Astyanax mexicanus: one gene and its partners. The protein of the gene in region 2 purifies or fractionates together with the protein of the main gene of each other region. This does not show direct contact. Links are inferred from orthologs where the notes say so. Each region holds a gene or a part of one and is shown on either strand. Other genes may lie near its edges.

The links.
Region 1: the proteins of faf2 (region 2) and derl1 purify together in Homo sapiens (affinity purification with western blotting; 4 studies listed by BioGRID and IntAct, with this or other methods). This does not show direct contact. The link is inferred for Astyanax mexicanus from reciprocal best matches to the Homo sapiens genes FAF2 and DERL1.
Region 3: the proteins of faf2 (region 2) and amfra purify together in Homo sapiens (affinity purification with western blotting; 9 studies listed by BioGRID and IntAct, with this or other methods). This does not show direct contact. The link is inferred for Astyanax mexicanus from reciprocal best matches to the Homo sapiens genes FAF2 and AMFR.
Region 4: the proteins of faf2 (region 2) and pex19 purify together in Homo sapiens (affinity purification with mass spectrometry; 4 studies listed by BioGRID and IntAct, counting the BioPlex papers as one, with this or other methods). This does not show direct contact. The link is inferred for Astyanax mexicanus from reciprocal best matches to the Homo sapiens genes FAF2 and PEX19.

What each region holds. Positions count from the first base shown.
Region 1 is NC_064413.1:4,744,210-4,751,343, forward strand, and holds the start of derl1 (derlin-1), read left to right. Parts: upstream 1-4,116; 5' UTR 4,117-4,366; coding exon 4,367-4,519; intron 4,520-7,134. Other genes in the region: nsmce2 (E3 SUMO-protein ligase NSE2), read right to left, coding at 420-526, 1,028-1,122, 1,797-1,944, 2,034-2,146, 2,883-2,997. UniProt on the Homo sapiens protein: Functional component of endoplasmic reticulum-associated degradation (ERAD) for misfolded lumenal proteins. Forms homotetramers which encircle a large channel traversing the endoplasmic reticulum (ER) membrane.
Region 2 is NC_064426.1:2,400,436-2,407,461, reverse strand, and holds the start of faf2 (FAS-associated factor 2), read left to right. Parts: upstream 1-4,017; 5' UTR 4,018-4,064; coding exon 4,065-4,127; intron 4,128-5,947; coding exon 5,948-6,016; intron 6,017-6,122; coding exon 6,123-6,257; intron 6,258-6,352; coding exon 6,353-6,429; intron 6,430-6,964; coding exon 6,965-7,026. Other genes in the region: higd2a (HIG1 domain family member 2A, mitochondrial), read right to left, coding at 443-609, 2,687-2,873. UniProt on the Homo sapiens protein: Plays an important role in endoplasmic reticulum-associated degradation (ERAD) that mediates ubiquitin-dependent degradation of misfolded endoplasmic reticulum proteins.
Region 3 is NC_064409.1:59,157,519-59,165,090, reverse strand, and holds the start of amfra (autocrine motility factor receptor a), read left to right. Parts: upstream 1-4,570; 5' UTR 4,571-5,620; coding exon 5,621-5,875; intron 5,876-6,012; coding exon 6,013-6,105; intron 6,106-6,418; coding exon 6,419-6,583; intron 6,584-6,738; coding exon 6,739-6,891; intron 6,892-6,989; coding exon 6,990-7,030; intron 7,031-7,164; coding exon 7,165-7,297; intron 7,298-7,572. Other genes in the region: nfatc3b (nuclear factor of activated T-cells, cytoplasmic 3), read left to right, coding at 2,274-2,344. UniProt on the Homo sapiens protein: E3 ubiquitin-protein ligase that mediates the polyubiquitination of lysine and cysteine residues on target proteins, such as CD3D, CYP3A4, CFTR, INSIG1, SOAT2/ACAT2 and APOB for proteasomal degradation.
Region 4 is NC_064415.1:44,425,006-44,432,212, forward strand, and holds the start of pex19 (peroxisomal biogenesis factor 19), read left to right. Parts: upstream 1-4,194; 5' UTR 4,195-4,248; coding exon 4,249-4,297; intron 4,298-5,050; coding exon 5,051-5,145; intron 5,146-5,370; coding exon 5,371-5,533; intron 5,534-7,207. UniProt on the Homo sapiens protein: Necessary for early peroxisomal biogenesis. Acts both as a cytosolic chaperone and as an import receptor for peroxisomal membrane proteins (PMPs).

The DNA of each region.
Region 1 (7,134 bases), on a different chromosome or scaffold from region 2:
CATATTGTTGCGCTCATGCAAAAAACTAAATAACTTCTGAAATTAATTCTACCAGACAGGTATTTAGGAGCAGTAAAGCCACTCCCCTGCAGTACAGCATTATAAGGGTAAATTTTCTGTAAAGTTTCTGCAGCTCTAAGGCTGGGTGCAGCAGCATTTTACTGTTCAGAGGTGAGTATATTGGACTGTAGTCTGTGTGTTGGCTGTGTTAAAACAAGCTACATCTGAACCCAGCATCCTGGGTTACTGGAACACTCAGGGTTCCTCAGTCTAGCACTATTGGGCAGTTAGTGGCTAATGCTAATGCTGCTGCACCCAGCCTTAGTGCAGAAGAAACTTCTCTGAAAACTCACCCTTAGACAAAATATTGGATATCTAAGTGAAATGTGCAGAAATGCACACAGCTGAAAGCAGCTTACCGGAACTTCTTCTTGTTGTTGTGTCTGGTCTTGATCATGGTCAGTGCAGCTTCTTGGTCGTAGTAATGTTGGCACTTCTTGTTTCGTACTGGATTTACCATCTCAACCTGTGAATGATGAGGTCAAACCACTCAAATTTTTATAAAAGTAATACATAATATGCACTCACACCATGAAATGTTCCTGAATTTACTTAAATTACGTAATAAACAGACTTTGATTAAACCTTTGCATCCAACCACAGAGCTTAAACAAGATGCATTTATGGAAAATAAAAAAGAAATATGACCAAATTAACTAGGAAAAATAATGTGATTAATGCTAATACATTATTTTATCATTTAAAACCCCAGTAGTTGCGCAAAACACCCAAGAAAAAAAAAAAAGTATTTTGTTAAACTGCCATTTTTTTTAATCGCTGTGATTGAAGCACGCATTCACTGTGGCATTATTTCAATAAGCTTTATTAGTATTATTAATAATGTTAAAATGCTGTGGTATTGTTTCAGTATTGTTATTGAGATATTTAGGCAGGTATCATATCCAAAGTCAAAATGTTGGATTTTGAGACAACACTATTAATGTATCTGTTAAAAGCAAAAGTTTACCTGGGTAAGAGGACATGTGAAGTTTGTCTGGCTCTGTGTAACAGCAATGTCTTCATCCAGCTCCTCTTCAACATGGGCAGCCGCTGATTGGTTCACTAAAAAAACACACATGAGAACTGTTTAATTACCTTTTTATCTCAAACAACTGCTACCTAAATGAATCCGATTAATACAATAGTATAATAGTACAATAATACACTGCTGGCTAAACAAAAAAGTGGTATTAAGAAACTGGGTACCACTTTAAAATAAGACTACCTTCATAAAGGGTTTATAAATGGTTTACTATTCGTTTATTAATGGTTACTAATTAGGTTGAAAATGCCTTAAAAATCATTAATAATCAGTTATAACACATATACGTAGAAAAGGCAACAATACAGATGGCTGTGTAATATAGTTCACTATTTGGCAAACAACAGGTCACTGTCCTTTCTCTGTATGTGTTATAACTGATTATTAATGATTTTTAAAGCATTTACAACCTACTTAGTAACCATTAATAAACTAATTGTAAACCATTTATAAACCCTTTATAAAGGTAGTCTTATTTTAAAGTGGTACCAGAAACTGAAACCAGGTAGATGGGAATCATTAAAAACAAATAGTTGATTTTTAGTAACACTGTCATTTTGATTGTAGCTATTCTACCAATAAATGAAAGAGGAAGAGTTTTCCTACGACAGAGATCATCATTTATTGTTTTGAGTTTAATGAGTTGAAATCGCTGTACTGTGTTTGAGACAGGAAGAGACAGTGTGTACGATACCTTGTGCCAAAGATTTCCTGATGTTGTCTCTGAAAGCCACTACTTTGCTGTGTCTCTGAACGTCTGAATCCCTGTCCTTTAGTTCAGCAAAGCGATTCTTTACAGAGTTTAACAGCGAGAACATGGCCTGTGGAGGTTCTCGTCTCACCTGCAGACACAGGAGAAAATACAAGATGAATTAGAGGGATAGAAAAAAGTATATTAGAATTAGAATTGAAACGATCTAAAATTACTAACATGAGCTGTCGTCTGCTCAACAGATTCCACAAAACAGTTTATCTCTCTGTCCAGAGCAGCGCATTCTAACATCATCTGCTCCAATTTTCTTAAACTCGGACTGTCATCAGTGCCTGGAATAAAACAAATAAAAAGAATCATAGCAACACAGCATCTGAATCTACACACACTCTCAACAATTACAAGAAACATCAAGCATGTTTACAGTGCTGTAAACCATAAAGCTTCGCATTAAACCAGTAACTCGGTTAATCAAATTACTTTAGTAATAAACTCAGTATATGATGAGAAAAAAACGTACGGAATGGCATTATTAAAGTCGTAATATTTCGAGATTAAAGTCTTGATATTACGACTTTAACCTCATAACATTACAACTTTCATCTCCCAATATTACGACTAAACTCAGAATATTACGACTTAAATCTTGTAATATTACGGCTTTATTCTCGCAATAATTAACCTTACTTTAAGAAATTAAGGTCAGTCAATCTGAAACATTTCAAGAGCTCTTAAAGTATCCTCAAGTGCAGTCACCACAAAGACCATCAAAAACGTTATGATAAAACTGGCTCTCATCAGTAACGCCCCAGAAAAGGAAGAGCAAGAGTTACCTCTGTTGCACAGGAAAGTTCCAGTCACAGATAAGTGGGACCAAAATAGGTTTTATGGTTTGTTTAACACTTTTTACTCGTTTACTACACGACGTGTTCCTTTATAGTCTAAAATACTTTAACATTTATTTACAATGTAGGAAATATATAACTGTATGTATAAAAGGCTGTATTTGATTAAAGATTAGTTAGTTAATTAGTTAAGGTTAGATTTAGGTAAATAGCTGTACTGTACCTTGGGCTTCCACCAGATCCAGAGCGACATCTGACACGATGTCCATCCCTGTCCCAATATCCACCTGACATGTCTTCAGACTGGACAGCGCGGGCTGAACTGAACTCAACGACATAATTTAACGCTAACTGTTACCTCTGTGATTTCCGGCTACAGCGGACTGGTTAAGAAACTGAATTAATCGGAAAGTAAACCGGTTTGACCTGCGAGTGGGTAAAGCGTGTTTACAAGTTAGCTAGTTAGTTAGTTAGCATGTTAAGCTAACCGTAGTTAGATAATTTATCCGAAACAACCGGGTTCAGCCAACAAAACAAGCGTACACACACGTAGCTAAATATAGTATAATAGTGTTAAAGTTGTTAAAAGGTTTATAAAAACTAGCCCGACACAAATAACCAGTTTATTTTACTTCAGATAGCGACTCAAAAACAAATCAGGCTCCTGCAGCCCGCCTCAACTACTGCGAGTGACGTGAAGACAAAATAAAAGTCCCCCCCACTCTCTCTCTCTCTCTCTCTCTCTCTCTCGCTCTTTCTTTTTTTCTTTCTTTCTCTTTCTTCTCGCTCTACAAATATACAGTACCAGTCAAAGATTTTTTTCCTACTATGAAATAACACATAATGAATCGTGTAATTAAACCAACTAAAAATACTCTGAGAAGCACTTAGGCGGGCTCAACTAACAAACACTATTTAAAAAACAGTTTACTTCGATAATAAACTAGTAATATGACGAGAGAAAAAGACGTATGGAATGACATTATGAGATGGCATTAAAGTCTTAATAAACGTGTAATATTACAACATTATTCTCGTAATGTCACACCTTTATTCCTGTAATATTATGATAATATTTTTACTTTAATTTCGTAATGTGACTTAAATCTTGTAACGTTATGAAATTAAACTTGTAATGTCATGACTTTAATCTCGTAATATTACGACTTTATCCTCGTAATATTACAACTTTAATCTCATAATGTTATGACTTGAATATTGTAATATTATGCCTTTAATATCGTAATGTTATGACTTTAATCTCATAATGTAATGACTTTAATCTCGTAATGTAATGACTTTAATCTCATAATGTTTTGACTAATCTCGTAATGTTACGACTTTAATCTTGCATCATTTGTTAACCCTTTTTAAAGTTTATTACATTATTCCTCATGTGTTCTTTCGCGGTCTCGGGGCTTTTATTTTGACATGCACGCGCAGGAGACGCGGACAAATCGCAGCAAGAACCGTCATTTGGCGTCGCGGCCGCAGCCTATCGACTCCTGCGGGGCCACGTCATGTAAACGGAGTAAAAGCGCGTCCGACCGACACTCAACCAAAATAGAAGCAGCCGAACCGGGTTCACCCCGATCCGCCGCGATCCGCCGCGATCCGCAGAGCCGCAGCGCCGCGCTCAGGGCCCGGTGTAGCCGCAGGTTAGAGTACAGAGGAGCGGGGCTGAGGGCTCCGCAGCGCCGAGGAGAGATGTCAGATATCGGGGACTGGTTTAAGAGCGTCCCGTTCATCACCCGGTACTGGTTCGCGGGCTCGATCGCGGTTCCGCTGATCGGGAAGCTGGGGCTGATCAGCCCGGTGTTCCTCGTGCTGTGGCCGGAGGCTTTCTTCCACAAGTTCCAGGTGAGAGCCGGGGCCGCTGGGAGAGGAGGTTGAGGGTTAGGGAGGCCTAGGCCTCGGTCTTAATGAGAGAGGTGCGAGATAGCTAATTATTATTAGCTGTGAACCAGCGATCCAGTGTTATGTCGATTTGGGCTGTGTTGTCAAAACCTGCTACCACAGGTCTGTATTTATAGATCATTTTTATTTTATTTTTTTCCCCACAAAAAATATAGCATGTAGGTTTTGATAAATAACATTACAACAACAATGCAAGTATAATTCATTATTATCATATTACAATGAATATTACTGCTTTTCATCCTATTTTATTACTATTATGTCAGTGGCATATAATGATTTTAAAATTACAATAATATATTTTTTCGCATTTATTTCTAGGACAAAATAACGTCCACAAAAAAATGACAGGGCTACAGTAAATAGCAAAACAGACTTCTTTCATGAATATCACTGTCACGATATAGATTTTTTTTTTTATAATGAATTGTTTGTGATATTATTGCGTACGTTATGACATGGCACGCCCCTATTAGGTAGGATAAAAACGTCATATCAAAAATGCTTTTGAGTAAACGTGCAGGACAGATTTGTAATTAGTCATTTATTCATTTATTTATCAGGGAAAATCTAAGGCAATTAGCTCATATGATAATTTTGTATATATTGTTTTATAAGAATTTCTAATTACACTTTTGTAACACCAAGTAATTACATTTCATTTTGAATTCTGCGCTGCACCTAGTCAAAATGCAATTATGTGGATTGTGATTTGCTAGCACTTAGTGCTTTTAGCAGCTAATGCTAATACTGCTCCAGCCTCAGTGCTGGAGAAACTTCACTTAAACTCCTGTTTAACGCTGTACTTTACTGCTCCTTAATACCTGACTGATAGAATTCATTCATAAGATGCACTGGATTATAAGACACACTGATGGTTTCTTGGAAAATTAAATGATTTTAAGTGCACCTTTTTGTGTGAAAAATATAGTAATTATACAGAATTGTGTGTGAGTGCATGTGCAGAGCCGCTAAGTCACAGGGTAACATATCACACATATCACTGGGTAAGCAGGGCTCTTGGTTTGAGAGGCAAATGATGTGCGTGCCTGTTCAAGCATGGGTGCACGTGTGAAAGCGAGACATTTTTTTTTGTGTGTATTTTTTTTTTTTTTTTTTTTTTTTTTTAACTAAAATTTTGAGTGAATTATTTTTTTTCGTGAATTAATTAGATTTTTAAATAGCTAGATAAAATATTGGGGGGATTTATGTGTAGTACAACAACAAAGAAGGAACAAAATATAAACAAAAAAGCAAAAATTTTATTCTTAACCTACAAAGAACCCAGATCCACATTTGAATATTGATACTATTTTAAAAATCAAATCAGATAAATTCAGTAAGCAGCTCATTTTTTTTTATTCTGAACACATGACTGTAAACATTTTATCAAGTTAAATCCTGATATAATAAATATCACAAAAAATGTATGTCTTGTATTTTACTTTTTTTTCCTAGGTGTTTGTAAAACATTTAATTAAAGCATTTGAATGGTTAAAATGGTTGGAACAGGCCTGTCACAATAAAACATTTTTATGGACAATATATTATCCCAGAAATTAGCATTAAATGCTACTGACATAATGATAGTAAAATAGCACAACAAAGCAGTTGTACCCTTTTAAATACAACATTTAAATGAATCATAGTTTGGGAAATATATGGTTTTTTTTTTTCTGTTTTTTTTCTTTTGCAGTTGTTGAAGCATTGGTCTGGTATTGCATGACTGGCTAAAATACTGTTTAAATATATGTTTTATATATAAACAACCATACAAATAAACACAATATGTGATGATATCACGATTATTACATGTCATTAAGGTCATATATGTTTATTGTGTGATAAGTTGAAAACATTTAATTTTTCATGACAGGCCTATGTGGAATTTTTTTTTTTTTTTTTTTAAAGGAGCTTTAGTGGTTTTATCTCTATTTAAAGCACTTCTACTTTCTGTAAATAAATAAGGCGAGATGAGTGAACACAGATTCACACACTGTCCTGTAGTGATGCTCTCAGGATGTTTAGTATGTATCACTTAAGGAAATTAATGTGAGCTAAAGTGAAGAACAAAGTGCTCTAAGTAAATTTATACATCTTTTAAAAGGCTCTGTGACATGGGCTCTTTTGAGTTATAATATTCCATACCACCTTAAACAATGCAGCAGGTAAGTACTGCACCATTTAAGGTGGAATGGTTATTTAAAATATGAAGTCCACCAGAGGGCGCCGAACACATTGACTGTGTGAAACACGTGGGTCACTGTGTGTTTAAATGGAATATAGGCTCAGTTTATTAGAGGTGGGCGATAAGACTATAGTATCATAATGCACAATAAGATTTTTAATACAACATGAGTAATCAATCAACTAATCCTGTGTAATTAATTGGAGTACATTAAATTCTGAATAAAAAATAAATTTTAAGTGTAAGCATTAACGCTGCCTTCGCTTTCATGTCAGAGGTTTGCTCGTATGACTCTGGAGCTCATAGTAGAGGTTCTTAAAGGGGCCACAATATTCATTTAGGGGCCAAATATATTTTCACCAGTCACACC
Region 2 (7,026 bases):
TAGAACACAACAGCAGGTAAACAGTGTATAACTTATTAACTCATATTTTAAGCAGATTTTTTTGTTGGTTCTTCAGTTTAAATACCACACAAAACACCAGTTAGGCCTTAAATCTCTTTAATATACATTAACTCTTTGACTCAGAGGTACAAATATATGTAAAGGAAGAGGAAAATAAAAAAAAATCCTACTGTCAGTAGGAAATAAAGGAAGGATGTCTTCACACCTTTTTACTGTGTCCACAGAGACGTTCCTCAAGATGTCCCATTGGATGAGACACCTTCAATTCCAGTCCTAGAGTAGCACACGGGGTCCGATTCTCTCTAAACAGATCTCTAAATGCTTCAACAGAACAAAACATCAACATTAAATCTAAAACCAGTCTGGATCAGGTAAGGCTCTTTAATAGGGAGTTGTGGCTGGTTGTGGTGCTTCTCGTCTCTCACTGTTTGGATTTCAGTGCTGTAGCTGCCACGCCCACTATAATGGCAATGACGGTGAACCCCTGGGCGAAGATACGCGTCCGCATGAGCATCTGAGACTGGTGGGTTTTGCCGTGTTTAAAGGCCCGAAGGCCGTACGTCAGAGCTCCTGCCGTCCCCAAACAACCTGCAGAGAAACAGACAGGAAAACACATTAATGCATTAATTGATCCACTTAGAGATTACGGAGTAGCATTTAATTATTTCAAGATTTTAAATGATTTAATAGATATTTTAAACGATTATTTTAAATATTTTAATATGACTTAGATTACGCAGCATCACACAGTTCTGGGAAAGAAAAAGAGATCTTGTAAGGCTCTGCCAAAGTTACTCAGTGCATTTATAGATAATATAACAAATAACATGTAATGAAAGTGTCTTATCTGTATCGCAGTGTGAACAACAAGAAACAGCCAGAATATCTGGGCAAAGCAAACCCAGTCTGAACAGATAAATCAGAATAAATACCAATAAATAAAATGGATTACGTTAGTAAGTGAGGAGTTCAGTTGTTGCATAATAGGTAACAGATCTCTTACATATTTGCACAGATGACTCCGTTTAACTAAATTAGAAGCCACATATCACAACCACTCTCTGTTTAACTCTGTGTTTAAGGAAGATTAAAATCATATAGGCATATAAAAAAACATCAATTAATGTGTCTTTTTTTTATACAGTGAACTCAAACGCATTAGACCAACCTTAAGTATGGAGCAAGTAGGTTTATGTTTATCTGCTGTGTTTTATGTTGCATTTGCACATATGTATCAACAATGGGCATAAAGTTATTAAGTATATAATTATAAGTATAAAGGCTGAATACATTCAGTATAAAGAGGTTTTGTTACATGTCCACCTTTAAAGGCCTGTTCTGGATTCTTGTACAATTATACAAGTCCAAGATAATTATTTGATTATTTAAACAGTCATTTCCTGTTCCTGACCAGGTTTATTTTTGCAAGGAATCCCAGCTGGACTTTGAGGGACCCTGATACTCATCTCAGAACCCCCTCGAGTCCAAAAGGAGCAAAGGTTTAGGACAAACTGTTCGGATCCTGTTAGTGTTCACGGTCCCACATCCTTCCAGACCCACTGCTGGGGAACTTACTTGAGGAATTACTACTCACAAAAATCTAATTTAGTGTTTTTCTTTTTACTTAGTCTGCTTTAATTTCTTTAATTTAGCACTGCACACATACGTCCTCTGTACACTTGGAGAGCATCAGCAGGAGATGAAAGACAATAAAGTCAGGCAGAACATTCAGATCTGAGTTTGTACAAAGTGCTAATTCCACCAGCAGCAAAACAGCTTCAAAGCATGATGCTACCACCACCACACTTAACAGCAAGTACAGTACAGTAAAATAGACCTTGTTTGGTCCAAAGGTTCCAAAATAAACTAAATGACCAGGTGGTTTCCATCCATATTGAGTGAACCATGAATAATTTCCTTTTTTCACAGTGAAAACTCTGTTTGGGTGTTTTTTTTTTTTTTATTATTCTTTTAAAATGTTCTGAATCTAAACTATGAAGAAAAACTAAATTAAATTATTTAGTAAACAAAAAAAAAGTTAAATGTTTTATATTTTAGATCATTTAAAGTAGCACATCTTGCTTAGATCTGCTTTAGACATTTTTGCACATTTTATTTATTTTTATTTATTTATTACCAGTACAAAATAAGTACAATAACAAATGTAAAGAGACTATCTTGTAGTAGAAGTTAAACAGTACAATTTAAATTGGATGATCTTTAAAAGCTTTTAGACGTCCTTAGAAGTGAAAGCTGGCTTTGTATTGGACTCAGAGCACACAGAGTGTCCACAAACATCTATTGTCCTCCTTTATTGAGTTCTGGAGGCTCAGCTGCGGATCAGAGCTGGAACTATAGGCAGGTTCCAGCAGGTCAGATGTTCTACAGGCTGCTGATATAACCTATGTTAGATACTGTTGTTCTAGATATGCAGCAGCAGAACTAATGTTACATGTTAGAGGTCATGAAGGTGTTTACCAGCTATATAAAGCCAATAAAAAGCACAGAAAGTTATTAAACACTGAGAATAACTGAGTTTAGATCTATAGATGATTATAAACACACAGCAGCAGTAGTAATAATAATAATATCTATAATCCGGCAGTAATATAATACTAATAACAGCGCTGTTACAGAGCTTGTGTAACAGTGTAGGGTATCTCACCGATAGGGACGAACGGGTTCTCCTTGGTTTTGCGGAGAAACTTCTCCTTAAAGCTCTCCTCTTTCTGCCGGGGCAGCGGGGTGAAGCCCTCTATGACCGGCGGGCTGCCCGGGTTAAAGGCTGCGGCTCCGGGCAGCGCTGTCCGCCCAGCCCGCTCCTCCTGTACCGCGCTAGAAGCGACCGCCATACTCAGTCCGGCTACTGCCTCTACTGCTGAGCTCCGTACTCACACCCATACACACACTGCACTGCACCGCCCCTACAGGCCTCCTCCTGCTACTGCAGCTACTGCCTCTACTGCTGCTGCTTTAAAAATAGATAGATAGATAGATAGATAGATAGATAGATAGATAGATAGATAGATAGATAGATAGATAGATAGATAGATAGATAGATAGATAGATAGATAGATAGATAGATAGATAGATAGATAGATAGATAGATAGATAGATAGATAGATAGATAGATAGATAGATAGATAGATAGATAGATAGATAGATAGACAAAAAATAAATTATGTTTTATAGATACATTTCTTTGACCTGTTATTTTATTATAGTGACTGCAACAAGGATATTTGTTTTTTTTTATCAATCTGCTTATCTTACTGGGTAAAATCCATAAAATGAAATTCAGAAAATAAAATCCTACCTATGCCTTATTTAAAGAAGACTTCTATTCCTACATATATTCAACTCAATATATGCAATGTAAAAGAATCTGCCAAATTAATGAATATATTGAGACAATTACATCTTGTTTAAAAATATAAATTGCTTCCTCATACCAATCTGTTACACCGTCTTGTTTTTTTGTACTTTACTTTATATGTATATAAAGATAAATAGATAAAAAATTCTGTTGTCACTGAATTGAAGTTTTTCCTTAAAAAAAAGTTATAATCTGTTTTGAAAACCTTTCTGTAACTTTTCAATGAGAAATAACTGTTTGTAACTGTATTCTCTGGAAATTCTTAATATAAAAAAAGAACATTTTAAATATACGTAATACATAAATATAATTATACATAAATATATAATTCTATATTCACGATTTTTTTGTGCTGTTTCAATATACACAAAGGAAATAAACATGTGTAATTTTAATTTCAATTTCCAGAAAATGTGAAACACTGTATATCAGTGGTCCGCTGCATTCATATTTACACATACATATCAACAAATATTTTTCTCACTTTGATCAAATTAACTCTTTAAAAAATGAATGAAAGAAACAGAGCTCTTAGGCTTCTTTTCTGTCCACGTCACACACAAACAAGGCCCTCGCGTCGCACCTCAACGTGATCACGTCGCACTTCAACGTCATCACGTCGCATTTAAGCGTCGGCACGTCGCGGTGGGGGGACTGGCGAGGTAAGATGGCGGCGCCAGAGGAGCAGGAATTATCTCAGGCTCAGACTGAGAAACTCCTCCAGTTCCAGGTACAGTTCGCTCTGCTCCCGCTCACCCACACCACTCACACCCGCCGCCCTGCGGTCTGTCCGGCATACGGGCTCAGAGCCGCCGCGGAGCTCCGAGCCCCGGTTTCGCCGCTTTAATACAACGATAGGAACAGAACAGTTAGCATCAGGCTAGGCTAAATTAAGCTAAGCTAATAGCTAGGTTAGGCTAAGCTAAGCTATCGGCCGCTCCGGGGCTGTAGCGCGGAGGCTCTCCTCGCGCTGCTGCTGCGCCTCAGCGGTTAGCAACACTGCTAACTATTCTACCCTCAGAACCAGCGCAGCCTGAGCCGATTAATGATCGATTATTATCGATAATATCGTTCAGATAGAGCGCGTGAGGAGCGCATGGGTTAGCCAGGAGCTGCCGGAGCATCAGCAGCTGTCAGTTTCCATCAACTTAGTTGGCTGAAACTTGCTGTTAGCCGGTTACTCAGCATTCAGGAGCCGTTGCTGAACCTGTAGCTCCCCTGAGTCTAATTTGGTCTAAAGGAATAAACCCGAATTAAGTAGTTCAGCCAGTTTAAATTCAGTAGTTTTAGTAGATTCAGTAGTTCTAAATGTTTAATCTCGCTGTTCACTTAACCTGACCTAACTCTGGTCCAGAATTAGCCCTAATTAACTAGTTAACTAATTCACCAGCCCTAATTATTAACTACAGTTCACATTAGGGCTGGGCGATATGGCAGAAATCTTGTTTATATCATGATATACTTTTTTAAATCGTTGGTACGATACAATTACATTATGTTGATATCAACATGCTCCGTCTTTATCTTTGGTGTTGTAATAACACACTGGTGAGAGCTGGGAGATACAGTTAAAATAGTATATCACAATATTTAAAGATGTTTTCATGATACACTTGGGTTGTAAGAAATATATCGAGAAATGTTGAGGTTGAGTGAAAACCTCTGGAATAATATATGATAAAAAAATAACAATATAATAATATAATCAAGAGGAAGATGGATGATCACAAGCCATCAAAGCAACCTGAACTGCTTAAATTTGTGCACCAGGAGTAAAGGCATAAAGTTATCCACCAAAAGCAGTGTGTAAGACTGGTGGAGGAGAACATGATGCCAAGACTTTATTAACCAGTTAAAAAATATGGCCTTAAAATGTCCTGTGTTACAGTAGTAATAGTAGTAGAAGGGGTACTACTACTACTAGGTACTAGGATGAAGAAGCTTCTAATCTTTTGTCTTTTATATTTAGTTTGTTAGTAAAAAGTTCATATTTAATTTCAGGTTATATTGGTACATTCATCGTGACATTCAAAAAAATCAAATTGTGAAATAACTTTAGTTAGATTGACACAGAAATGAAAGTGAAAATGTTCCTAGGTGGCTCATGATGATTTATATATGAGGGCTGGGCAAAATGGCCATTTTGATATAATAGTTAAGAATATAAAGGCTACAGAAAAAATGCCAATAACACTCTCAACAAATGTTTGTACCTACAAAAGGCTAAAAATGAATTTGCCAGTTCATGTAATGCATCCTGAATTCAGTGCCAGGTCAGGTAAATTGTAAATTTATGTATACTCAAATAGTGGAGAGTCATATTGGCGTTATTAAAGCATTTTCTATTACAATATTGTATCAATATGTATGTTGATATTGAATTATTGATGTTTTACAGGTTGCAGTGTAGATTCAATCACTACTGTACTAAATAGATTTTTATTAAAGGCAAAACAGATGGGTGTCATTCTTAAAACATACCTCATATGTACAGTATGTCCTAATATGCTGTTAAATAATGCAAAATCTATTATTTTTAATCCCGTACAGGACCTGACGGGCCTGGAGTCGATGGACCAATGTCGCCGCACATTAGAACAGCACAATTGGAACATTGAGGTGAGCGCTGACGGGGGAGATCAATGATTCCTTTCAGAGAGATGTTGGAGAGAGCTTTTGGCAGCTGGAGCTGCATTGTTGTGATGAGAATGCTGCTGTTTTACAGGCCGCCGTACAAGACAGACTAAACGAGCAGGAAGGAGTTCCCAGTGTCTTTAACCCGCCGCCCGCCAGACCCCTACAGGTTAACACAGCAGATCACAGAGTCTATAGCTATATCGTCTCCAGGCCACAGCCTAGAGTAAGTGCTTCATCTGTACCCTGTTACTGACGCTTACGTTTGTAAATACTATTTGTTTCGTGTCCTCATTCCTTTCTTACCTCTTTATTTTACAGGGATTATTAGGTTGGAGTTACTATTTGATAATGCTCCCCTTCAGGTTTACGTATTACACACTTCTGGACATATTCAGGTAACACTTTTCTGCTTTTACAACCTTTAATTAATTCATTATAGTTTTATTCTTTTTTTGTTTGAGTGCATTAAGGGTGTAATACTTTCCACAAACGATAAAAGCCCACGTCTGCAAGAACAAAGCAGACGTATGTAGTCTAGTATGAAGATGATCTGTGCAGAGACTCCAGCCAAAGTCCAACTTAAGCTTCCTTAATATATTTACGTTGTTCTATGTGTAAAATACATTCATTTTCAATAGGCATATATGCACCTGAAACACTACAGTACAGCCTAACGCATCCCAAATTATATTTTCAACATAAACATTTTAATAAAACATTATAGTCGTTATGGCTTTTAGAAAAATGTGCACTATAGGTCTCTGTGATATGCCCTAAACTTAACTAGTACTTTTACACTTATACTTGAGTAGAAAGCTTGAGTGGACCAAACAAGACAGGATTGTTTTTGTGCCTCATTGCAACCCTATAATGTGCAATATGTGTTCTATTTCTTAAAAGATCTAACAAGTTCTTTGTTATTTTCTTCAGGTTTGCCCTGAGATTCATTAGGCCGGATCCTCGGGGTCGTGTCACAGATCCTGTTGGAGACG
Region 3 (7,572 bases), on a different chromosome or scaffold from region 2:
GTAATTGTAGGGCTGTAATTGGTTTAAATAAAGTGATCGGTTGGTTGGTTGGTGGATATACTGTCACTGAAGGACAAACAATCTTGCATTTCTAAATTACTGGTTCACAGGAGATGAAACATTAAAGTTAGTAAATGTGAAATGATTTTATTGCAGATCATTTTTGGAGCATATGCAAATGCATTTATCTTCGGTAATTGGAGGTAATTGAGACTGAGACAGTTAATTAGGACAACAATTAATAAACTTTGTTCATATAAATTTACGTCAAACATAAGCCAGGGGCCCGTTTGACTTTTGTTTTACTCTCAATAGAAGACCAGGAGGTACTACCCCACAGTTTGTGGAAACCTGTTTGGTTTGAGTCTAATTATAGTCCTCAGTCCTGCAGCATAGTGGGAAAGAGGATACAGGCCTGTACGTAGCATTGCATCAGAGTCAGTGAGGGAGCTAAATATACTGCGGAGCTTAATCTTCTGTAGTTACTAGCGCACAGCTGTTAAGCCACTGTAGTGATAGACATGCGTGGTTCATACAAAACATTCTTGTGCTTAGCATTAAATGAGATCCTTACATAGCAGAGGATATTGGCACCCTACTGTGTAGCCTGACAAATCTGTGGCCTTCAGGGGTTTGAGCTTTATTTGTTTATACTGTTACTTTCTTAGCTTGTGTATTTTAAGGGAACAGCACATTTAAAGTGAAAGATGTTCTGACCTACCTCTAAGGCGGACAGGAAAATATATTTCCTCATCTTTCTATCTGAAGTGTAACCTTGCATTTAAATGGCTAAATTTGGACTGGGAATCCTACAAGCTCAAATATAATTCTGTTAAATGTTTTCTCGTACTCCCTAGCCTGCTTCTGTGTTTTCAAAAGAGAGTAGGCACCCATCCAACCTGGCCTTCTGCCACCATGTCTCAGCTCCACTTTTGTGTGTTGGAGAGGACAGGTGCAGTGGACTGCTATGCCCCCCTGATGACTGAGTACTGTTGTTTCTCATCATAGGGCCTTTCATTGCCAAGAGTGTAACCCTGCAAATGTGTTGCCGTTTCCATTCTCTGCAACAGACCCTACTGAAAATATACATTTGCTGTTGCTCAAGTGTATTTATAATGAATTGACACGTATGTATTATATTTGAATTATATATTATGTTTGGTATTTCTAGAGAAGTTTAGCAGGACGAAATACAGACAAACATCTAAAAGCTTTAAAAGGAAAATCAGATCAGATATTGGTCAGACAGTAGATAATATACATGCTGTATTTCCCATGATGTGTAGGTGTTTTGTTTGATGCTAAAAATAGCCCCCTTTGAGTTCTGTTTTGAGAACCATATCTGACTAATTTTAGGTGTTTGACATTTGATCTATTGAATCAAGAAGATTGTACAAATATGACTGTGTTGCAGTAAAAGGTGTGTTGTTAAGCACAAAAAAAAAAAAAAAAATTTTAGCATGATTGCGTTTTCACACTCTCTATACCAGCTGTGGTTGTTTGGTGATGCACACAGCGTTGTGCTTGCACTGAACAACAGGAGGATATACAGATACCCAGCTGAGCCCAAATATAGGAACAACACTGCCCTCAAATGGTTCTAAAATCATTTCCTCTACACGGGATAAGCCCAGTCCTAAGATTTTAACTGAGACTAAAAATACTTTACTGGACATTCCATGCAGTCTTAGACTTTAATCTGTGCTCAGAAAACTGCTATTAGGAGCTTTGGGAATTTAAATGTAAAAAAAGGTGACTTAACAATACTGGCCTAATATTAGGGATATACTGAAATGGAACATTTTTGACCAAAACCAAACAACAAGTCTGAATACAGAATATAAAGTGTTTTTTTATTATTAGTATTACCATTTTAACATAGATAAGTTCAGTTGTCAAATATTTGGTGCATTGTCATTTGTCATCTACTACATCTACATCTACATTAATTCATTATTTGTGGGTTTCAGATAAAAAAAGAAAATCTGGTTAAAATTCAGATTCAGACAAAAAAAAACATTAAAATGTGTTTAAAAGACATTTAAAAAAAATACATAACAGAATATTGTACAGGCAAGAAAACAATTATTTGAAATAAAAGTACTATGTAAAAGGGAATCATTTTTTATGAGAATGCAAAATGTGCTAAAGGCTTTGTGCCCTATTTACATACCTAATACTTAATATTTTATTAACTATTGTTTGTTACCATTATAAAAAAGTTAATGGTATGTTTGTTTTTAACTTGTGTTTTTTCTTTCTTCTCTTTTCAGTGAGCGAGATCATTGTCAGAGACTTGTTCCAGAGTCCAGATCCTGCAGGGGATTCTTATAGCTTGCCATAGCAGCACTGTTACTGAGTCAGATCCTCTGACATGATCAAGTTGTACTGTACATACTGTAATGTATTTTATCTGCCTTATACTTTTAAAAGGGCTTCATAAAGAAAACTTATCATACATTTTGTATTTGCAATAATCAAATGTGTTTATAAGCAGTTGCTGCATAGTATGGGTTCGAGCTTTACTAGGATTGCTAGGTACTATCTTTTGAATTGTTCTTTGAACTGGACTTATGAAATGTGAATGTTCAAGCTGAGACCTGAGACTAGATGTGCCTTTTGCTGAGGTGCCTTGAATGTGACATTCAGTTTAAAATCAACTCTTCACAAAATGTTGACTGTGAAGGGTGTTTATGACTCTATGCAATATTGTTTTTATGAATCTAAATATTTTGGGGTGGCTGTATAGGACATTTTACACTATTACAGTGTAACCTAGGTGTGATAGTTGAAGCTGCCACTGGAACTGTAGTTTGTAATTGTGTAATTTGGCATGATTGATTTGTGATTTGCTGAGAACACACTGATTTGTAACATTTTCTGTTAGACGACTTGTTACGTGACAGACACTTTTTATCTGAAACTTTTTCAGATTCCATATTCTATTTATGAAATTGTATGGAACATTAAGGTATGTGACCTTTTCCTATGCACTGAAATTTTGCCTGTGTAGAAAGCTTTGGAATTAAATATTGTTTTTCAACTATATTAAACAAACACTTTCTCCTATTTCTTTTATCTCTATTTCAAGATAAAAGCCATGTTTATGACAAAGACACTTATAGAAGGCCTTAAACTACAGTAGCCTTAAGACTTTAAAAACTTTAGGTATTTTTTTATATTTGACCTCTTGTGTTTTCGAAGTCTGCTGTCCAGATTTGTTTGTTTATTTATTTGTTTGTTTATTGCTGCCAAAAACTCATTAACACATTAATATGGAAAACACTTTGGGTTGTTAATAAGACTAGTCATAGACTATATTTTTGTCATAGACTATATCTTACTCTAAAAGTCTCAAAGTCTTCTTCTTTTATGTATGTGCCAGTAAACTAAACCAATACACTAAAGTGTCACTATGCAGAGTGCATCCAAAACTGCATTCATTAGCATACAATGTCTTCCAAACATGTCTAATAGTAACAGAAGTCTTCATGAACAGAGATACAGAGTCTACAGTGTAAGGTTTAACTCACTGGTTTGCCACACAACAGTTATTGTTTGCTAAAAATATTTAAAAACAGTTTGCAAAAAAAAGTTTGTGGAGAGATTAAATCAAAAATAACTAATAAAAACAATGACAAGGCAAGTATAGAGGGAAATCTAAAGAAGTGGTTTTTAAACGTTGTGGATGGGGCTACTGCAGCCCCCGACCACACAAACATATTTTAAACTAAAATATGTTTTATACTTTAGCCACATTTAGCGTTGAGGACAGATTTGCACACTCTTGGTATTGTCTCAGTGTCTTCATGAGGTATTCACCTGCAATAGTTTTCTAAGCATCTTGTATTAGTTGCTTATGAACTAGTAGAATAGCTGTTTTATTCTATAAACTACAGACATTTCTCCCAAATTCCAAATAAAAATACTGTTATTTAGAGATTTTATTTGCAGAAAATGAGAAATGGCAGAAATAACAAAAAATATGCAGAGCTTTCAGACCTCAAATAATGCAAAGAAAACAAATTCATATTCATAAAGTTTTTAAGAGTTCAGAAATCAATATTTGGTGGCATCTTGGCATCTTGGCATGTTCTCCTCCACCAATCTTACACACTGCTTTTGGATAACTTTATGGCACTCCTGGTGCAAAAATCCAAGCAGTTTAGCTTGGTTTGATGGCTTGTGATCACCCATCTTCCTCTTGATTATATTCCAGAGGTTTTCAATTTGGTAAAGTCAAAGAAACCCATAATTTTTAAGTGGTGTATATGGCCAGGACTTATATCTCGTTCCCATGCCTTAATAGGTCGTGGCAACGCATTATTATTATTTTTTTTACTTCACCATAGGGGCTTGTAGGTTACCTTTCTACAGCTATACTGGGGAGAGTTCAGTAATGGATTGGTAGACTTTTTTTAGCACTCTGAAGTCGATAGTTTAACTAATGATTTTTTTTACACACTTCCCAGCAATTAAATGCTGTATAACTAGAACTACAACAATCCCCCATCAGCGCCTTCCGCAGCAATAGTACAGTGGCGGAGTGATACGCGCCATGTTCTCTTGTGTAAACAGCGGAAGAGGCTCGGGTTGCGTCAGCAGCGCCGGAAAAGCTGAGAGAGAGAGAAACTCCGAGAAACAACTGGAAGACTGGAGCAGACACACACAGAGACGAACACAGCGGACCCCGGGAGTCCTGTAGTTGTAACACAGCCTGCACTACAAGTTCTGTTCGGACATTTGTGGGCGAACTCGGCCTGAAATAGTCACTGACGGCATTTCCCCCTGACTGCCTGAGTTCGTATTAATCCGCTTAAGAATATTACTGACATTACTGAGAGGCGAGGCTTCAGCTGGAGCGGTGAGCTATAGCCCTGCTGGCTTTAGCCTGTTAGCTTCTCTAGCTAACTAACCTGTCTTGCTGGAGACCACAGGCACTGCCAGTGAAACTGTAGCTATTGTTAAAACATTTGCCCGCCCTGAGATCTGTAGTAATGGAATTTAAAACCGAGAAAAGCAGAAAAATGCATGTAACCTAGCGTTAAATAGTCTAGTCTAGCTAACGTTAGTCGTTTTCACTGGTGTCTTGTGTTGTTTACACGTAATGCTAAACCAACTAGCTTAGCTTAGCTAACAGACAACACGTAAGCTAACCTAGATTTTGATAGCTAGCTGTCAGGCTAAGCTAGCTAGGTTAGCTTTCCCAATTCTAAGTTCTAAGGACTTGTGACAGCACAGAAACGAATTTTCAACTTGCTAGCTAATTATTTAGCTAGCTAAGGTTACCTAGTGTCTAGGTAACCTATCTAACGTTAACTTACCTTACCTGTCTAACTTATATATCTATTTAACCTGGTAGCTATCCAGCTTCACAGGGTTCGTGCCGTGACCTGAATCCTAAATAAAGCTTGTTAAATAGCCAACTAGGCCTGCTAAATAACTTGGTTAACTAATTAACTATTTAGCTAAACTATATCTAACGTTATAGAAGACGGGAGCTCACAGTACTGCTCCCACCCCATTTCATCATCAGTGTAAACATTTCAGTGTAAACACAGAAAGCCTCTCTGTAGATCCCTCTCTTTATCTGAAGACGTGCACACTGGACAGTCTCGCCATGCCCCTGTTGTTTCTGGAGAGGTTCCCCTGGCCCAGCCTGCAGACCTACACTGCGCTTAGCACAGTCCTGCTCGCTGGTTCGATCCTCAGTGCCTACACCGCTGTAACCCAGATCCCAGAGCCCGCAGCTCCGGTAGCAGAGGACGCCCGGACCGAGCCCATCGAGGACAGTAAAGCTGATCAAGGAGAGGCCATTGAACATGTTGCCTCTAACGTGTTGCTGTATCTCATCGCCGACAACTTATTCGTCTGGGTAAGTGCTCTTACTAATGGTCCACTGTGACAGCAAACAGCGTCCTTATAGATTATTTAGCTTATTTTGTCCCTGTGTTTATGAAGATCAACGAGTAATCACCCCCCAAAGCAAACTGCACTGTCCTATCTCTTCAGGTGATGGTGAATACAGCATGCTGTGTCCTCATGCTAATCGCCAAGGTGATCCAGTGCATTGTTTTTGGTCCTCTGCGGGTCAGTGAGAAACAGGTGAGCGCAAAAGCTTGCATAGGGCTTGGCCCTGATTATTGAAGAAGCATTTTATTCAATGATGCACAAAATATTCTCAGACTGAAGTTATTCAGCCAAAAATAAAAAAAAAGCATATTAATATTAATGAATATTTTCACAATAAGACTACTGAACATTGCAGTTTTTGTAGTTGTTATTTGCCAGAATGTTTAACCTTTTGCTTTATGAAGCTTCCTCTTAGCTACACCTCTGTGTTCTAACAACAGAGTTTGGGGATTTTTTTGTTTTCTTATGAAACCCCTATGTCTCTGTGCTACCTCTATCCCAACAGCACTTGAAGGACAAGTTCTGGAACTTTATCTTCTATAAATTTATCTTCATCTTTGGAGTGCTGAATGTGCAAACAGTGGACGAGGTAGTGCTGTGGTGTTTGTGGTTTGCTGTACTTATCTTCCTTCATCTCATGGTTCAGCTCTGTAAAGATCGGTTTGAATATGTGAGTACTCCTATAAGCACTTAGAAAGAATTCTTGGTTGTTTTTGAATTTAACTAAGTATATAGCTCTTTTATCTACTGTTTCATGTGGAATTGTGAATTTAAAAGGAAATCACACTCAGATATTCATTCATTCTGTTTCCCCCCCCCCCCTAGCTGTCATTCTCCCCAACCACCCCCATGAGCAGTCATGTGCGAGTACTGGCCTTGCTAGTGTCCATGCTGTTGTGCTGTGGAGGCCTAGCTGCGCTCTGTGGCCTGGTCGGACATCTTCATGGCATGCATACTGTTGCATTTATGACAGCTGAGGTAGGGATTTTTCAGTTTCCGAGCTTCTCTGTAACACTAGAGAGGAAATTGATAGTTGTTTTATGAATGGAAAAACAGAATCCTTTTCTATTTTGCAGTGTTTACTTGTTACGGTGCGCACTGGACATGTTATTATAAGGTAAGCATTTTGTCAGTCCAGTATCAATTACGAGTGTACCGCCGTTTATGCTGTCACTTGCAGGCAAAGAAACCTGAGCTGTTAAGTGCTTCGAAAAATATATCACTGAGGTTTTGCTTGTACTGTTTTTTTAGGTACTCTATTCACCTGTGGGACCTGAATCATGAGGGGACTTGGGAGAGCAAAGGCTCTTATGTCTACTACACTGATTTCATTATGGAGCTTGCTCTTCTCTGTCTTGACCTGATGCATCATATTCACATGTTGGTGAGTGGCATGTGGTTATTGATTTGAAAGCAGCTTATTTTATGTAATGCTAAGCATTTAATTGAATCATTCTTGCAGTCCGATGAGTCTACCTTTTGGACTAGGACTACAGTGCAGCCACAGATCATTTAGATCAAGAGTATTATTAGGATAAAAAAAAATCTTCTTTAGAGCATGGTTGTATTTTATCTTTAATTTATTCTTTCAAATATGAGTAATTGCTTGCTCATTAGAACTGGATCTGAACCAGACTGCTCTTGACAGATTGCTACAAC
Region 4 (7,207 bases), on a different chromosome or scaffold from region 2:
TTCCCATACTTGTTTCCCCAAACTAGAACACTATGTTTGGTGTAGGACTATGCTTAAAGCAAAGCACGTAGATTATTAATTTAACTAGTTAGTTAACTATTTAGCTAACTATAACGTTTCCCCATTTTAAAATGTCTCGCTGAAGAGTACAAAGACGTTACAAAAATGCTGCGCTAGTTCACTCTTGTTTAGTTAGGTTAGCTACCTAGGTTACCTAACCTAAAACACGTTGGCTCGTGTGTATTACTGTACTGTATGACTTTACTAGCTTGCGTTTAAGTAAGTGCTCAAGTGCACACTCGATAGCGGACCCCGGTGGGCGGGCAGCAGGGTGCTCGGCGTCTGAATGCTGCAGGGTGAGCGGGAATATTGGAACGCTGCCACTCTATCGCTACAGTTTCGGTTCATAAACCGCCTTGCCGCGGGTCAGCACCCGAACCTACCGACCAACCTGCCTGTTTACGCGCTCGGCTGGCCGGTCCGCGCCCCCCCCTCGGCCGCTCAGCGCTCTCCTCCCCAAAACCGCGGAGCTTATTTTCACGGCAATCCGCCGAGTCGCACCGCATTTTCCGTCTGCGTTCAAACTCGAGCGCGCTGCCCGCGGCCTGGTTAACACCACAGGCCTCAGAACGCATGGTCTCTGCGGGGCTGTACACAGATTTGAACCCACCTGCACTAAAACTCGGGTCTAAACTGTGTTGGAAGGTTCGGGAGAGTGTTCAGAACCGCTTACCGACTGCCCCGCAGCTTCAGCTGAGTCTCAAAGCGAGCTGTTGAGGGTTTATCCGCAGCGGAGAAATCCAGCCTCGCCGAACGCAGCGCAGAAAACCAGCAAGAACACCTGACCACACCCACCTCACACATAAACCCCGCCCGCAGGCTGCCCATTCGCGGCGTGTCTCGTCACTCAAACGAAAAGCGCGCATAAGTCCCACCCATGCACAGACACTGACCAATCCTAGCCTGGCAACTGTTGCTAGCTTCCATACTAAAAGTAGCTACCCGCGCTAGTTAGAGCTAGCGTTAGCAACGCAAGTACTGTGAATTGGGCAGCTACACCTTCTGCGGTTCTCACAAACACAATTAAATTATACACAACACAGTGTAACTCCAAGTCAACCACACTTTTGTAAAATCAATATGTCCAGTTAGAAAGCAACAATGATTGTGAATCAATTTCACTTGTTATTGTGGAAATGTAACAGACAAAAGGTAGAAATAAGAGACAATTATCAAGACAACCTTTATAAAGGAGTGGTGACCACAGACCTTTTTCTCTGTTCTCATCCTTTCTGGCTGATGGTTTGGTCACTTTTGCATTTTGTCAGTTCTCTCACCATAGAGGTAGCATAGGCGGAGTCTACAAGTGGCTCAGGTAGTGCAGCTCATCCAGGATGGCACATCAATACAAGTTGTGGCAACAAGGTTTGCTGTGCCTGTCAGCACAGTGTTCAGAGCATGAAGCAGATACCAGGAGACAGGCCAGTACACCAGTAGACATGGAGGGGGCTGTAGGAGGGCAACACCCCAGCAGCAGGACCGCTACAGGAGGAGCGGTGCAAGAGCCCTGCAAAATGACCTCCAGCAGGCCGCTAATATCCATGTTTCTGCTTAAACTGTCAAAAATGAGGGTGGTATGAGAGCCCAATGTCCACAAGTGGGGCTTGTGTTTACAGCCCAACATTGTGCAGGGCGATTCGCATTTGCCAGAGAACACAAAGATTCGCCATTGGCGCCCTGTGCTCTTCACACAGGTTCACACTGAGTACGTGTGACAGACGTGACTGTCTGAGTCTGGAGACGCTGTGGAGAACGTTTTGCTGCTGCAACATCCTCCAGCATGACTGGTTTGGCAGTGGGTCAGTAATGGTGTGGAGAGGCATTTCTTTGGAAACATTAGATGCTTTTCCACCGGCATGGTGCCAGTGCTGGTGCCAGGTTCCCGAAACGGTTCTTTGCGTTTCCACTGCAAAAACAAATTCTTGGCCAGAAAAGCCGGTTCCGTTCTGGCCCCACAATCTTGCTGGTCTGGAACCATCGAACCTGTGACGCGAGCAGCCAAAGGGCGGGGCTCTGAAGCATCTCCAGGACAAAGTTGTTTACAAACCTCACCTCAATTCACAGCTAAGAGCAGTAGAAGCAGCTAAATGAATCTAAAGTGAGGACAGCAGCACAAGTTTTAAAAGGAGCTCGGGTTCTGCTGTGTTGTTTTCAAAAAGCCCCCAACTTCTGTTTACGCCCACATTCACATAAGTAGTAAGTGACCCCTTAGAGCAGAGGAAACACGGGCCGGTCCTTAAAAGGTTAGCAGGAACCGGCTCCGGCACCAGCACTTTGTAGGTGGAAAAGAAGTAATTGATGCTACGGACTGGCCTGCCCGTTCCCAGACCTGAATCTAATTCAGCACAACTGGAACATCACGTCTTATTCCATCCACCAACGCCACAGTCCACCACAGACTGTCCAGGAGTTGACTGATGCTTTAATCCAGGTCTGAGAGGAGATTCCTCAGGAGAACATCCACCGCCTCATCAGGAGAATGTCCAGGAGTTGTGGGAGGTCATACAGGCACATGGAGCCACACACACTACTGATCCTCATTTTAACTTATCTTGAGGAATTTCCACTGAAGCTGGATCAGCCTGTCATTTGATTCTCCACTTTGATTTTGAGTATGATTCTAAATTCAGACATCCATGGGATAATAATTCTGATTTACATTGATACTTTTTGTGTTATTTTGTTCTCAACGCATCACACTATAATAAATACAGATTTTCAACTGGAATATTTTATCTAGGATGTGTTATTTTAGTTTTCCCTTTATTTTTTTGAGCAGTGTATATAATATCCTCTCATATAAATAATACACAGTATTCAGGGCTAATAGTTTAGAATTTCTCCTGAAAGTAAATTAGCTGTTATCCATGGCTGTTATTCTAAGTCAAATCTGTGCAGTTTAATGCTATAATGTCAGAGGAAGATCTACTTTTTAATTTTTTTGTAAGAGCCACACAAGATCTGGTGTGGTTCTGCTGCAAGTGAAGACTGTCAGCAAGACCAGGCTCAGCTGTATCTCCAACATGCCTAATAACACATTTGTAATAAAAAAAAACTTGAGGGTTTTTTAGGGTCTTTTGGGTGTATGTTTTCACTTATGGAATTTTATTCATTTATGCCAGTCTGCTTTACCTTTGTATGTTGTCAGAAACCATTTTATTTGACTGGATAAAAAAAACAAGATGAGAATAGTATAATTTATACATTTTGATATATTCAGTTTTATAAGGGATAAAAATAATAAAATGTGGTATGTGATTTTTACATAAAGTTTCACATATGCATATACAGTGGTGTCAGAAAGTATTTGCCCCCTACAGATTTCTTGTGTTTTTGCCTTTTTTTTTTGGCGTACTTACAGCTGAGCTCAATTTTACTAGCCACAACCAGGCCTGATTACTGCCATACCTGTAAAATCAAGAAATCACCTAAATAGAACCTGCCTGACAATATGAATCAGCTAAAAGATCTCAAAAAGTGTGTTTGGGCTCTGCAGCAGGACAATGATCCAAAGCACACTGACAAATCCACCTCTGAATAGCTTAAAAAAACTAAATGAAGGTTTTGGAGTGGCCAAGTTAAAGTCTGATTAAGATGCTGTAGAATGATCCGTTTTTTGCTTGAAACCCCCGCAATGTGGCTGCATTAAACAATTCTGTAAAGAAAAGTGGAACACAATTCTTCCACAGAGAACTCCCGGACCTGTTTTTTATATTCACTCAGGTTATCTTTGTCTTATAGTAAAGTGTGTTTAATACTTGGAAAAATTATTACAAAAAAAAAGCAAAAACAAAAGAAAGCTGGAGGGGGGCAAATGCTTTTTCATGCCACTGTGTGTGTATTTTAATAATACATTAATAATATAATAATAGAAAATATTTTTTTAAATTTACTTTTTATTGCAATTTAATAAAAAAAAGTATTAAAAGATCTTAGAAGAATAGCCACTTATAATAAACATATTCTAAACGTGTTTTTAAATGTAATGGGTTGTTTATATTTAATGGCATAAATAAAATCTTAGTAATATAACACATTTTTAAAACAAAAGAAAGCCTGTTTTTATTATTAAAACCTGCTGTTGAATATTGATTATTGGTCGTGTTTTGTGTTTTTTTAGGGGACTTTTACTGTGGCGGAGACGCCGCTGCTGCGTCACTTCGTCCCCGGGCTCAGTGCGGAGTGAAGATGGCAGAGCAGCAGGCCGCGGACTCGGAGCTGGACGAGTTACTGGACAGTAAGGACTGGGTTTACTGGGCAGCCCGGTAGGGTTTCTGTTTAGTGAGGGTTCAGAATAACACAGAGGAGTAAGACAGTGCGCGGCACTGAAATATCTGGTGTTGTTTTACCACTAAACTGGAGTTTATTTAAATAACTCGGTCCACCTTAAATAGTACAGCAGTTACTATACTAGTTTGAGGAATTAGAATAAAACTGCTTTATCATTTAAGGTGGACCGGACAGATTCAAGAACAAAGTGGAATTTCTCTTCTTTATCATGCAGTCAGTGTAAAAAATGGTCGCATACACGTTTAATTAGGTTTATATTGTTTATGAATCACTTTTATATCTACTGTAACTCAGGTTTACATGGATATTTAATTATAAATAGTATAAATGGTAAATGGTAATGTAAATGTTTACAAATCGTATTATTATTAATATTATTAATTTTTTAATTAGTATTATTATGGGCAACAGCAGTGACAGAGTGGTTCTAACATCTAACAGTAATAACTGTATGCTAGATAGACTACCAATAAATACATTACACAACAGTTTAACTATTTGTCCAGAACTATTCAGGCATCTAATGAATAATTTCATATATCCCAAGTAATATATAATAGTTGTCTGGATATATAGTAAACATAAGGCAGAATGTAATTGCTGTGTAATCTAAAGTATAACATTCATACCAAGTCATTTTTATTGTTGTTTTTTATTTTATTTTATTGTTTTATTATTAACTTGATTACTCCGTTCTTAGGTGCTCTCGATGACTTTGACAAGAACAGCGCGCCCCGTGCGGCTCCTGAAGCCGCTGCAGCTCCCAGTGAAGAAGCTAAAAGTGCAGGGCCAAATGTAAGGATCAGTTGTGTCATAATTTAACCTTTTGCTCTTTTTAAATATTAATGCCTTTAAATCTTCTGAATGTTAAAATTCTTATAATTTCATTTATACGTGATATTTATGTTATTGGGTCTTTCTTTTTTTTTAATTGACATTATTAGAACTCATGATTTTTTTTTTGTTATGTTATTCAGTGTGTATAAAACACTGACAGTTTGTGCTTGTGTGTGTCTGCAGCCCCCTCTGCTGGAAGACAGTCAGTTCTTTGAGTCTCTGTTTGAGGGGGAGATGGCCAATCAGGCAAAGGAGGAGTGGGAGAGGGCAATGGCTGAGCTGGCGCAGGAAGAGCCAGAGCTGCTGCAGCATTTCCATAAACTGTCAGAGGCTGCTGGGAAAGTCGGTACGTCTGCATGCATGCTGGATACCTGGAACTTTTTTGTTACCTTTGTTAACACACAAGTAGAATTGCTTCAGTACAACTGATTGCACAAACCCCACATCATTTAGTGCTCAAGTAGTACTGAACAGTGTTTATGAACCAGTCTGGTCACTGATTTAAAAACCTGAACTTCTGATTGTCTGTGTTACATTGGGTGTTCATCAGAATCTGTTGTGTAGTTCTTAAAGGGATAGTTCGGTATTTTTGACATGAGTCTGTATGGCATCATCATAACCAGTGTCGTGCATCCACACTGACTTACCCCCCACAGCGTCCTGTGAGCCGAGTTCTTGTCCAGTTTAGGTCAAAGCGAAAGTAGTCCGGCATGTTTGCTGGGGTCAGGAAAATAACTCCTTTTTCTTCCCAAAGCAGTACGTGTTCAAAAGAGTGATTTATTTACATCACAAAAAACTAACCCTGCAAAAGTCACGCCTCGTAAATCACTTGGGTCCTACTTTCTCTCGTTCCATATCAATGCGCGCAGCGCTGCAACCTGACAGCTAGCCTACGTGTTTGGGTCGCTTTGTTTACTTCTCGCCTCGAGAACATGTCTGACTACGAGAGTGACGAGGAAAACATTGATCACCGCTCAGAGCCACGGGGATATCTTTATGAACCCGAGTATACAGATGTTGAACTTCGCCAAATGGAATTAGATCGGGCAGAAAGAGAGAGGGTGGACAGAGAAGTGGTGGAAGATGAAACTGGAGCCACTGCTGGAGCTGCGATACCCAGGGTGGCCGACAAATCCTGGTGCACTTGTTTCAAGTGCGAAATAATGCAGACCGAGGTGGAATGCTACTGTTGCCACGAGTTAGTTATGCCCGAGATGCAAGACCTATCCATTGATGAGGATGTCAGCGGGGCAGCTGCTTGCATCACAAACAACAGTGACTTCCCTGCACTCCTGAATGCTGGTGTGTTGAGAACTTTTTTACGCTATGAGCGAATGCTGTAGAGAACATTGGTAGGCTACAGTTTTATTTACCTGGGGTGCAGGGACAGCAGATTTCTTCAGAATCCGTTTCTTCATCTGTCGTTGTCCAGGACATGTGGATAAAAAGTCATCATCGCTGAAGTGCGCACTGCAAACACGAAGCTTTTTTATTTTTTCCACTTTTGTGTCCACATGGATGCCCAGCGCTAGTACCCAAAGTTTCCTCAGAGCAACATCAGTCACAGGAAAACGATGAAAACTCTGCGGAGAATCAGCCACATCTTTGTTGCTACAGCCTGGATAGTCACAAGTCCGCACCATTTTAACACACACACACACACACCTAGCTATATATATATATATGTGTTTACAAAGCTTATAAAAGCCAATAGACTTCTCCCTAAAGTTAGCTCGTTTGCGTTGCTAGTCTGAACACAGCTGCTAAGCACTGCCAAAACACAGAACAAGTTGACGCGTGCGCAGCTCGCTGTCAGAATGACGCGCACTAGGGGTGGGCGATATGGCCCTAAAATAATATCACGATATTTCAGGGAAATATCGCGATAACGATATTTTTGACGATATAACAAAGATATTTTATTAATTTCAAGAAAACAGTATTGCAGAAAAAAAAATTATGTCTAAGCTTTATTTAGTATAAATGCATTTCACACTTAAATATTACATTTTTTTGCCTT